Oryctolagus cuniculus: one gene and its partners. The protein of the gene in region 3 binds, or shares a complex with, the protein of the main gene of each other region. Links are inferred from orthologs where the notes say so. Each region holds a gene or a part of one and is shown on either strand. Other genes may lie near its edges. The genes, in order: NPFFR1, ADGRF1 and GNAI1.

The links.
Region 1: the proteins of GNAI1 (region 3) and NPFFR1 are in contact, whole or in part, in a cryo-EM structure (PDB 9M0R), measured with the Homo sapiens proteins. The link is inferred for Oryctolagus cuniculus from reciprocal best matches to the Homo sapiens genes GNAI1 and NPFFR1. Residues at the interface, in NP_002060.4 of Homo sapiens: Ala31, Arg32, Asp341, Ile344, Asn347, Leu348, Lys349, Asp350, Cys351, Gly352, Leu353, Phe354; in NP_071429.1 of Homo sapiens: Thr78, Arg141, Cys144, Ile145, Pro148, Phe149, Leu243, Arg264, Arg265, Val268, Met271, Leu272, Phe332, Asn333, Glu334, Asn335.
Region 2: the proteins of GNAI1 (region 3) and ADGRF1 are in contact, whole or in part, in a cryo-EM structure (PDB 7X2V), measured with the Homo sapiens proteins. The link is inferred for Oryctolagus cuniculus from reciprocal best matches to the Homo sapiens genes GNAI1 and ADGRF1. Residues at the interface, in NP_002060.4 of Homo sapiens: Arg24, Glu28, Arg32, Leu194, Lys314, Asp315, Glu318, Thr340, Ile343, Ile344, Asn347, Leu348, Asp350, Cys351, Gly352, Leu353; in NP_722582.2 of Homo sapiens: Lys615, Gln618, Thr619, Arg623, Leu682, Arg685, Ile686, Val689, Phe690, His692, Val765, Lys768, Leu769, Arg771, Arg788, Ser792, Ile795, Leu796.

The regions. Positions count from the first base shown.
Region 1 is NC_091446.1:61,855,867-61,859,541, forward strand, and holds the start of NPFFR1 (neuropeptide FF receptor 1), read right to left. Parts: upstream 2,905-3,675; 5' UTR 2,682-2,904; coding exon 2,660-2,681; intron 1-2,659. UniProt on the Homo sapiens protein: Receptor for NPAF (A-18-F-amide) and NPFF (F-8-F-amide) neuropeptides, also known as morphine-modulating peptides. Can also be activated by a variety of naturally occurring or synthetic FMRF-amide like ligands.
Region 2 is NC_091436.1:123,114,140-123,117,788, forward strand, and holds part of ADGRF1 (adhesion G-protein coupled receptor F1), read left to right. Parts: intron 1-701; coding exon 702-875; intron 876-2,761; coding exon 2,762-2,862; intron 2,863-3,649. UniProt on the Homo sapiens protein: Adhesion G-protein coupled receptor (aGPCR) for N-docosahexaenoylethanolamine (synaptamide), an omega-3 fatty acid lipid highly enriched in the brain.
Region 3 is NC_091434.1:144,909,708-144,913,356, reverse strand, and holds part of GNAI1 (guanine nucleotide-binding protein G(i) subunit alpha-1), read right to left. Parts: coding exon 3,612-3,649; intron 2,159-3,611; coding exon 2,005-2,158; intron 1-2,004. UniProt on the Homo sapiens protein: Guanine nucleotide-binding proteins (G proteins) function as transducers downstream of G protein-coupled receptors (GPCRs) in numerous signaling cascades.

The DNA of each region.
Region 1 (3,675 bases), on a different chromosome or scaffold from region 3:
CCAGCGGCCCACGGGGTGTGCACTAGCGCCCCCTGTCTTGCCTTTCCTCCCTTTCCCATCCCACTCCCCTCTTTCCCTCACTTTCTGGCTCCTGGCTCTTCTTCCAAATAAACTGTCCACACCCAAGTGCTGATCTTGGAGCTGCTTTCAGAAGCAGGAAAATCGGGGAGCTGGCTCTGTGGCATAGTGGGCTAAGCCACTGCCTGTGACACTGGCATCCCATACGGGCATGGGTTCGAGTCCTGGCTGCTTCACTTCCAGTCCAGCTCCCTGATAATTCACCTGGGAAAGCAGCAGAGGAGGCCCAAGTCCTTGGGCCCCTACCCCCACATGGGAGACCCAGAAGAAGCTCCTGGCTCCTGGTTTCAGCCTGGCCCAACCCCTGTCATGGTGGCCATTTGGGGGAGTGAACCAATGAATGAAAGCTCTGTGTGTGTGTGTGTGTGTGTGTGTGTCTCACTCTCTAATTCTGCCTTTCAAATAAAAAAAAAGGCAGGAAAATCTGAAAGGAGGTGTTGGTGTCCCTATGTTTGTATACATGTGTGTGTGAATAATAAACCTATGTAGTTCTGAACACAGAGGGCTATTCCACCCATGTGTTCTAAAGTCTGCTTTGTTTTTATTACTCACTGAGGCAGCAAGCATATTTTCATGTCAATGAAACCCGGAAGCCCAGCTTTCAGTGTGTGCGTGGCACGCTGTTCACAGGTGTGTTTCATGTTTCACTTATCTAATTGATTTGATCCAGACACCGAGATGGCCCCTGACTGTGTGCCGTATGAGGCTGCTCTGCCACGGTGCACGGGGCGGCTGCCTCTGAAAGAAGCTTCAGTGTGTGATTGCTCTGCCTCCCAAAGGCTTGCCATTCATTCCATAATTTCTCCTGGAATTTTCAGAGGTCAACATTAATTTTAGCAGTTTAGAGGTTTTTTTTTTTTTATTATTCTTTCATTTCTTTTTGAAAGTCGGGCTTTTGCCTGTCTTCAGTTCTCTGGCACTTCCTTCGTTCCGTGTAATTTCCTACTGATTACATCTGTAAATGCATCCCGCCCGGAGGATGTTCTGCGTCTGGGCTTTCAGAGGGAGGTCTTTGTAGGTGGCTCAGTGCTTCCTCCCATCACTCACCTATCCTGCCTCTCCAGTTCCCTCCTTGTGCTCTTTATGCCACCATTTGAAACAAAATTGCCAGTGCCCGCCCTGCCCACTCTGTGCCCCAGCGCTGAGTAGATGCTTTCTTGTTATCTTTCTTTAGACTCTGAAAGCCGGTGGCTGTCTGGGCCAATTTTCCCTGCCTCTGTTCACCGGCGCTGCAGAGCCCTGGGCCCTCTTCCTCCAGATCCTGCCAGCCTCCCAGATTCATCGGGGGCTTCGCGGTCCTGCTCGCATCTTTTGTGTGTCTGCTTTTCAAGCCCCGGCGCAGTGGCAGCTACAAGTGCAGACTCCCCGGATTTTCTATAGAACTCCTTTTTGCTTGACAGAAGTGTCTGTAATTACTTATTGGCATTCCGAGGCTTCATCACCTCTCGTGGCAGCCTCCCTTGACTGGCGTGAATTTGTACAACACATCATGTCTCATTTTAGCCCCTCAGCTGCTCCGGGAAGCCAGCCGGAGGTAAGTGGCTCCGCTTAACAGACAAGTAAGCAATGGCACCGAGAGGTTTGGCCACCATCTCAGTGACACCCGCAAGCCACAGGACCAGCCCCCCAGCCTCTGGTTTCTTAGCCCACATAGAGTTCCCCCTGCCTGCACTGCCTGGAAAGGGGTCTGGACCCCCGCCGCGCAAGTCTGGAACAACAGCTGTGTGCCTGGCCACTATCCCGGGGGGGGGGGGTGAGGTCATAGCTGTTCCCCCTCCCCACGGACAGAAACTGCTGGGTAGGAAGATCTCTGGAACACCACCACCGCACCCCCACTCCTTCAGGCAGCCACAGTCGGGGAGCACTCCTCCGAAACGAACAGCCCTCTCCTCGCCAGAGAAAGGAAGCTCAAGTATGGGGGTGCACATAGAGGGGGAAGTGGAGACCCTCCCCCAGGTCTCTCTCTCTCTCTCTCTCACACACACACACAAGGAGGGAGATACCATGGACATAGATACCCCCAGGTCTCTCCCCCAGGTGTCTCTGTCTCTTTCTGTCTCTCTTTCTGTCTCTCTCTCTGTGTGTGTGTCTCTGTCTCTCTGTCTCTCTCTCTGTCTCTGTCTCTCTCTCTCTCTCACACACACACACACACACACAAGGAGGGAGAGAGACACCATGGACATAGATACCCTCAGGTCTCTCCCCCAGGTGTCTCTCTCTCTCTCTCTCTCTCTCTCTCTCACACACACACACACACACACACACACACACGGGACGGGGAGGGAGAGAGACACCATGGACATAGAAACCTCCAGGTCTCTTCCTCTGTGTGTCTCTGTCCCACTCTCTCAACAGAGTCACCTCCAGGTCTCGGTCTCTCTCTCTCTCTCTCTCTCTCTCTCTCTACACACACACACACACACACACACACACACACCGTGAACACAGAATCCCCCCTGGGTCTTTCTTCCTCTCTCAGGGTCCCCGTCACCCACCCGAGGGCCACAGTGCTGTCGACTGCCCCTGTCCCTTATCTCTCTGCACCTGACTCAGTGTCCCCCGCAGCCCCGGGGCCACTCACCCTCCATGCTGCCAGCTCCCATGCGCTGCGGGCCAGTCTACGACGAGGGAGCCTCGACCCGCAAGGGGTGGGCGGGGGCGGAGCAGCGCCCCGGGGCGCCCCTGCCCCTGCCCCCTGCAGCTCGGTCCCGGCCGGGCGGAGGCGAGCAGGAGGCGTGCGCTCTCAGGCCCCTGCGTCGGGCTGGTCTCGCTGCCCTCGGAGCCGGGGTTGCGGGCTCCACGCCGCTCCGCTGCCCGCCGGACTCTGCTGCCTGCTAGTCGCCCCGCACTTCCCCGGCCAGCGGGAAGGAGGGGGCTGGCGCGGCGCCGTCACCATGGAACCCGGCACACCTGCGCCCGCCGAGCGAGGGCGCCCCGGCATGCCTCCCTCCTTCCGCGGGACCGAGCGCCCCTCCAAAGCAGGGGACACAGCCCGCCGCCCGCGGAGCCCTGGCCACGACGCCCGTTACCCGCGCACCCCTCTCCCGGGGACCCGCACCCGGCCTCTGTCCCCACTCCTCCCCCTTGCCCCAGCCCAGCGCGACCCCGGGCCGCTCGCGCTGGTGTCCAGGACGTGGGCCTTTCTGATCGGGACAGGAGATGAAGCTGCAAAGACCCTGGACGGCCGAGGGAGGAAGCTGGGCGAGGGCCACCAGCTCGGAGCCCGCTGGTCAGGCACCCTACGGACACCATCAGTGAACAGAGGTCCCAACTTCCAGCGAACGGGGTTTAGGGTTTGTTCCGGGGGACTCTAGTTGGAAGCCGCTTGCTAGCTTCTGTCCTAGCTTCTGACTCCAGCTGCTCCTCCGTCCTGATCTGCTGGCATCTCTGAGCTCATCACTGGGCCAGACGCTGACACTAATCCCCAGCAGTGGGCAGCCTGCCTAGAGCGGGAAGCAGGAGGTGCCTTCTCAAGTCTACCTTTCTGCGGGACAAAGACCTGAGTTGCGCTCGGCTTTCTGCTGCTGCCTCAGTTTCTTCATCTGTAAAATGGGGATAAGAACAGTGCAGACCTCCTAGAGCTGTCATGAAGATGAG
Region 2 (3,649 bases), on a different chromosome or scaffold from region 3:
AGCAGGTATTCTCAAAGTACTGTGCCCAGGCCAGCATCATCGGCATCAGGAAATTGAATGAAAATGTAAATTCTTTTCCTTATCTCAGATTTGCTAAGAATCTCTGGAGTGAGATCTTCCAGGTCATCCCAATGAATAATGAAGTTTGAGCACCACTGATTACACATTGTTTTGCGTATTTTCACCAAGGTTTGCTCCATTTTTTTTTGATTATTAAAAAGGGTGACTTTTGGTGAGAATTTCAGGTGCAATAGAAGAAAATGAGCATACAAAATTGGCTGATGAAGCTTTGTCATCTTGACTTCCCCAGTTAAATCTCTCCACCTTTGCCATCTTGCTTGTAAGGCCTATATTGGGGTGGTTACAGGTTTACTGAGAGGGTAGTGACCAAAATACCCTCTAGATATTTGCCTACATTCCAGGTATTCTTTTCTGCCTCTCTCTTTTATTGCAACAGATAGCCACAGGGCACACATTATTCTTTGAGAGCTAAGCCCAGCCATTTTACTGCTATGTTTCTGATATCAACCTCAGAATTTATTGAGTTAGACATTTCCTTATGTTGCCATCCTGGACTCACCCTTCAGGATTTTGGTGAGAAACTCTTGGTTCAGATTCTAAGTCAGAGTCAATGATTTGAACTTTGCAGTAGTCAGTTCATAAATGAGGATCCATGAGACCAAGTTCTATCTTTTCTGCAGACTGTAGCAGCCTGAATGGAATATTGCGGTGTGGCTGTGAAGATAGCTACACATGGTTTCCTCCCTCATGCCTTGACCCCCGGTATTGCTGTCTTCACATGGCTGGATCACTCCCAAGCTGTGAATGTCATCTCAACAACCTCAGCCAGAGTGTCAATTTCTGCGAAAGAGCAAGTAAGCACAGGGTCTGTCCCACCCCATCATTTTTTTTTTTTTTTTTGACAGGCAGAGTGGATAGTGAGAGAGTGAGAGACAGAGAGAAAGGTCTTCCTTTACTGTTGGTTCACCCTCCAATGGCTGCTGCGGCCAGTGCACCACATTGATCTGAAGCCGGGAGCCAGGTGCTTCTCCTGGTCTCCCATGCTGGTGCAGGGCCCAAGCACTTGGGCCATCCTCCACTGCACTCCCGGTCCACAGCAGAGAGCTGGCCTGGAAGAGGGGCAACCGGGACAGAATCTGGCACCCCGACCGGGACTAGAACCCGGGGTGCTGGTGCCGCAAGGTGGAGGATTAGCTTATTGAGCCACAGCGCCGGCCTGTCCCACCCCATCATGCAACAGAGTGGGGACTCCAGCTGTTGGCCTCACTGAGGAGAGTCAGTGTTCACAGAGAAATTCAAGAACAGTGATGATATTCTCTACTAGGTGCAGCTAAATGCAGTGGGCCCTTCATAAAGGCAGAAGAAACAGAAACACAAGTTGATGATTGGGCTATCACTTCAACCTCTAGGTACATCCAGGTCAGCTCTGTAGTTACATGATTCTGTTGAGATTTAGGGAGATTCAGTAAAATACCAAGTAGGGAAATTGCTTGAATAAGCAATATTTCTCTCCCTAGCCCTTTTTCACTTCTTTTGCCAAGATCAATTCTGGGCAAAGGGAAGTCTAGAGGTGTGAATGTAGGGAGGAAAGAAATGCTCAAAATTATGAATAAGTATGTGTACTGAATGAATTACCAAAGCAAAACACAAGTAAATGTCTAGCTTAGGAGCATGTGGAAGCTGAGTGAACTACTCTTGACTTAGGTTTTTGTTCAATGAGGTGAGCCAAACATGTGAACTCCAGTACTGGAACAACTTTAAGAAGTTTTCCCAAAGACAACTCTAGTTATCTGAAAACTCCAGATTTTGGTGGTGCTGAGCAAGAATGAGGGAGGAGCCTGAAACAGACTAGGTTAACCATGTATCCATGGTACCCGTCCCCTTCTCAGGAATGCAAGTTGTGGCAACATATATTTATTAAGAACTGTCCTTACAATCAGATATGGGACAAATTCTAGGAAGACACAAAGAAGCATTTATACATTAGCAGGTTAGTTGAGGCCAGGTGGTCCAGTAAGAAAGAAAACAATGTAATTTCTTCAACAAGTATGGATGAAAGCCCACTTTTTGAAAGATGGTCTTGTCTCATCCAACTTCAAGATATACAAAGACGCATCAGACAGGGGCTTCCCACGGAGTTATGGAATCGTGTGTAGATGAGACATGCACACAGATGGGTGTTTGGGCACAGAAGCTATAAGGGAGTATGAACAAAGTACTGTGGGGATGCATCTGGGGACCAGGGGAGGACTTCCAGGAGTGGTGACATTTGATCAGGTCCTAAATGAAGGTTAGATAGGATTTTTCCATACAGAGAACTGTAGCCTCCTGAGAAGGACAAGTATTATAATGGATGAGTAATGGACAAGTAAACAACAGACATGTTGGGGTTAGCAAGTAGTGGTTTGCTTTTACAATTTTTTTGGGGGACAATAATTAAACTGAATGCCTAGTTGGGATACATGTCAGTGTTCAGTGACTGCCTAGTGATATGTGAATGCTCATCTATTTACTTACTTGTCATTTGTCCTGGTTTCCAGCACTTTCACATTACTGTTCCAAATCACCATTGAAAACTCTGATTTTATTCTTCCTATATTATTTTTTGCAAACATGTATTATGAAAAGAAATTGAAATACTACTGTTGAATAGATGAAATCTAAATTGTACTCCTGATAAAATCAAGTTAGTAATTTACTGTATTCATGAACTTTTTTTTTTTTTTTTAAATCTCCAAAGAGGTTTGGGGCACTTTCAAAATTAACGAACGATTTACAAAAGACCTTTTGAATTCATCTTCTCCCATGTACTCCAAATACACAGCTGGAATTGAACTTCAAGTAAGCACTTTCAACTTATTATAAGGAATTGATTGCTAAATACAAGTTCAGATGTTTTCAATTCAGCATGTATATTTGATGCATATTATTCATTTATTTTCAATGTGGTATTACACTCCTTGAGCATTTTCTTTCTAGGAAAGTTTAGCAGCTGACTTGTTTACACTTCTCTTGTTTTCAGTGTTGCTCACTTATTTGAGTAATGCTGTGCTAAGGGTTTTTGGTTATTTTCTGTTTTTTGATTGGCCAAAAGAAAATTTTCATGACCTGAGCTTGACCATCAGCACTTGAGATTCTTCCATGAAGAAGACCCTCTCGTTAGAGGCTGATGAGAGTCACCAGACAAAGCTCTGTAATTCCTTATGAAGTCACATAAAAGCTAGATTAGCCTGGGATAGTGGCTCAGCTGTGGTTCTAACCATAGGGCATGAGCAAATACATTGCAGGTAGATTTGTTTTAGGTACTTATGGAGATCAATGGCTTGTTTTTTAATAAGAAACCAGATTTTGAGTCAATTTTTATATTATCTGGCATCGAACATATGCCCTATTCTAAGTAGCTATTATCCACTGATTATTTGCCATCTTAAAAATACATTTTCTGTGTTTTGTGTGTGCCTGCCTGTGTGTGTGTACACATATGCACTCAGCTGCTATTTTCACTGTATTTGTATGACATTCAACTACTTCCCATTGTATTTCTTTGCCTTGCTCATTTGCTACTGTTGGTTTATTTATTGTCTGCATCTACCTTTTCCTCAAATGTCTTTCTGAAGGGAAGGGACAA
Region 3 (3,649 bases):
CTGCTAAACTCTTTAACCCCAAGAGCTACAAGGGACATCTGTGAAGAAGTAATAAGTGCATCCCTTAACCTGACATTAAGTCTTACAAATAGCAAAGTATGTGTATGGTGAAGTTGTTTGGAATCAAGAACAGTGCAGATGAGACACAGGCTGAAGAATGGAGAATTGGGGGTGGGGGGGGGGAGATGGCACTATAGGTTAAGCATCTGCATGTGGTACTGGCATAACATAGGGGCACCAGTTCGAGTCCTAGCTGCTCTACTTCAGATCTAGCTCCCTGCTGATGGTATGGGAAAGCAGCAGAAGATGGCCCAAGTGTTTGGGCCCCTGCACCTGTGTGGGAGACTCAGAAGAAGCTCCTGGCTCCTGGCTTCAGATCGGCCCAGCTCTGGCCTTTTTTGGCCATTTGGGGAGTGAACCAGCAGCTGGAAGACCTCTATCTCTCTGTCTCTCCCTCTCTATGTCTATAACACTGCCTCTCAGGTAAATAAATAAATCTTAAAAAAAAAAAAAAAAAGAAAAGGAATGGAGAACTAGGAGGTTCATGGTGTTATTACAAAGGTGAGAGGAGAAAGAGGAGAGACTTGAGGTGGGGAAAATAATACAAGGTCAGTTTGAGTTTCAATTGCTAAAAAGACACATCTATGTTCAAGAATGAATTGATAATGCAAGCTTGGGACTCTGGAGAGAAATTGAAGTGGCGGTTGTTTTTTCAAACTAGAAATAGCATCACTGCTTTTTTTCTTTTTTTAAGGTTTTATTCATTCATTTGAGAGGCAGAGTTACAGAGGGAGGGAGAGAGAAGGATAATCCATCTGCTGGTTCACTCTCCAAATGGCACAAACAGCTGGAGCTGGCCTAATCCAAAGCCAGGAGTCAAGAGCTTCTTCTGGGTCTCCCATGCGGGTGCAGGGGCCCAAGCATTTGGGCCATATTCTACTTCTTTCCCAGGACATCAGCAAGGAGCTGGCCACAGCAGAGAACTGGACTGGAAGAGGAGCAGCAGCCAGAATAAAACCAGCACCCATATGGGATGCTGGCACCACAGGCGGAGCCTTAGCCTACTACGCCACAGTGCTGGTTCCTGTTTGTTCTCCTTTTATACTTGATCTTAGCCAAAAGGCCAAGAAGCAATATGTTGTTCTCCTTTTAAGGTAGAGTTCACTTTTCTAAAATAAAATCTTACTGAGAAACCTGGTATGTCAAACCCACAAAAGTAGAACGACTCTGTTGTAGTGAGAGAGGAGTGGAAAGGCATGAAGGGTAGTGAGTCCTTCAATTCCAGGTACCTGCATTCAGCAGCAGCCCATGTGGGGCTCCAAGGAGCTAACCTACACTAAAACCAATGTTGCAGCCAAGTTCTTGATTTCACAGTCGGGGTATCATTAAGAACAGGGCAAGTTCACTGCTATATTCAAGACCAAGAGTTAATTATAGCCAACCCAGGAATGTACTTCAGAACAACTTTTCTCACTCAAGGGCATCTTCCAGGGCAGTAAACTCAAGGGCCATGAATAGTCTGGTTCCCAAAGTTGAGATCTTTTGTGAAATCGTCCCTGAATATCTGGAGAAATCTGTGGTTTCACTGAGTCCTGCTTCATTTCTCCCCTGACAATCATGTTTGTGCTCCTTTGTAGCAGTGTGTGGCAGGGCCATGGTTCCTTTAATAGTGTGAATGCCTTGGAGATTAGACAGCAAGCAGGCCTTGTGCATCACACATTACCTGATATGAGCTCTGTTAACCTGGTCAACAATGTTTTAAATTTTTGAAGGCTTGGAGTTGTCACGGAAAAGCACTTTTGACAGCTTTTCCTGAAAAGGGATGTTATTTTCAATAATCGCTTTCACATCTTAAGTAACTCAGAGTTTGATAAATAATTACCCAGAAGGAATATGAAGAATTACCAAGCCAAGAGACTCAAATCAACAACCCAATTTTGCCTTAGGGGATGTTTCACCTTGAAATATATGACTTGCTAAGTTATTTACCAAAAAGTAAAATACCTGCATATTCTGGATAGCAAATAGTGAGAGGGCTCTTTTTAATTTTTTCTTCAAAGAGGTCCTTCTTGTTTAGAAAAAGTATGATGGACGTGTCTGTAAACCATTTGTTGTTACATATGCTGTCGAACAATTTCATGCTTTCATGCATTCGATTCTGTAATAGAAAATGAAGTCACATCATCACTAATAGCAAAGATTTAGAGGACTATTTAAAAAATAACAAATATAATACAAGCTTATTCAGATGAATAATAGGTCATGGACCACAAAAATACATTTCTGCCATTTTAAGACAAGTATACTTTGAAACCCAATGAGCCCACCACATTAAATATTAGCAAAGGAGACTTCTAGTTCCAGTTTCCTGCTCTTAAAGGACCTGTGCTGAAAAGGAAACCAAGGAGCGTGGGCATCTGATACTGTGGTTAAGATGATGCTTTGGATACTACCATCCCATACCATGGGGCCTGGTTTGAAGCCCGGCTCCTCTGCCTACAACCCAGCTTCTGCTGTTGTATACTCTTAGAGGCAGCTGATGATGGGTCAAGTACTTGGGTCCCTACCACCAACATCGGAGACCTGGATTGAGCTTCAGGCACCTAGCTTTGGCCTAGCCCAGCCCTGGCTGTTGCATGCACTTTGAGAGTGATCCAATAAATAGAAGATGTGTCTCTCTCTCAAATAAAATAAAATAGGTTATTTTTGTTTGTTTGTTTCCCAAAACAAGAGCACTAAGGGGTAGGCATTTGGCCTAGCAGGAAAGACACACCCACATTCCATATTGGAGAGTCTGAGCTCAAGCCCCAGCACTGTTCCAATTCCAGCTTCCTGATAATGCACACCCTGGGAAGCAGGGGTGATGGTTCAAGCAGGTGGGTCCCTGCCTGCCATACGGCAATGTGGGATTGAGTTTTCAGCTCCAGTTTTACCCTGGACCAATCCTGGCTGTTACGAGCCTTTGAGGAACAAAGCAATGGATGAGAGCTTGCTGTGTCTCCCAAATAAAGAAACAGTATTTTTTACAGGGCACTGATATATTTAATAGCTTTTATATAAGAAAAACAAATGTGTAGTGTTGCATTTCACTTGACTGCACAGCCTGATTTTTAAAATATAAAACTCACATTTCTATCTATCCCTGTTCCCATTTTGTACTGAAGCTAATTAAAAACAATTGAGAATTTTAAAATTTATATTTAAAAAATTTTTCTGCATTGAAACACACAAGAAAATGACATGGCATCAGTATAGCATAACCTATGCGTAACAAAAATCACTACATGGGAGGAAGGGACACATGATGAAAAATGAGCCCTGGACGGCTATGGGCTGGCTTTATTTTCACTCGGGATGCAGACGGCAGATACAGGAAAGGCACAGTTGGCAGAGGGCAGGATGAAATGGACTCTCCATCGTCTCCTCTTTTTCAAGCCCCATCTGTGCTTCTTTACCAGATTTCTCTTGAATGATGCAAGCATAAAAGTCAGTGGAAAGTGACGGAACTTCAAATAATTCAGGCATGCATCAAGAATTTCTCAGAAAAACTTCTGGAAACACATCCCTCTCACTGCGTTTCATGCCCCACCCCAGAGAGTGGCTCTACTTGCCATCTCTTCGTCTTCAGCCAGGACCAGGTCATAGTCAC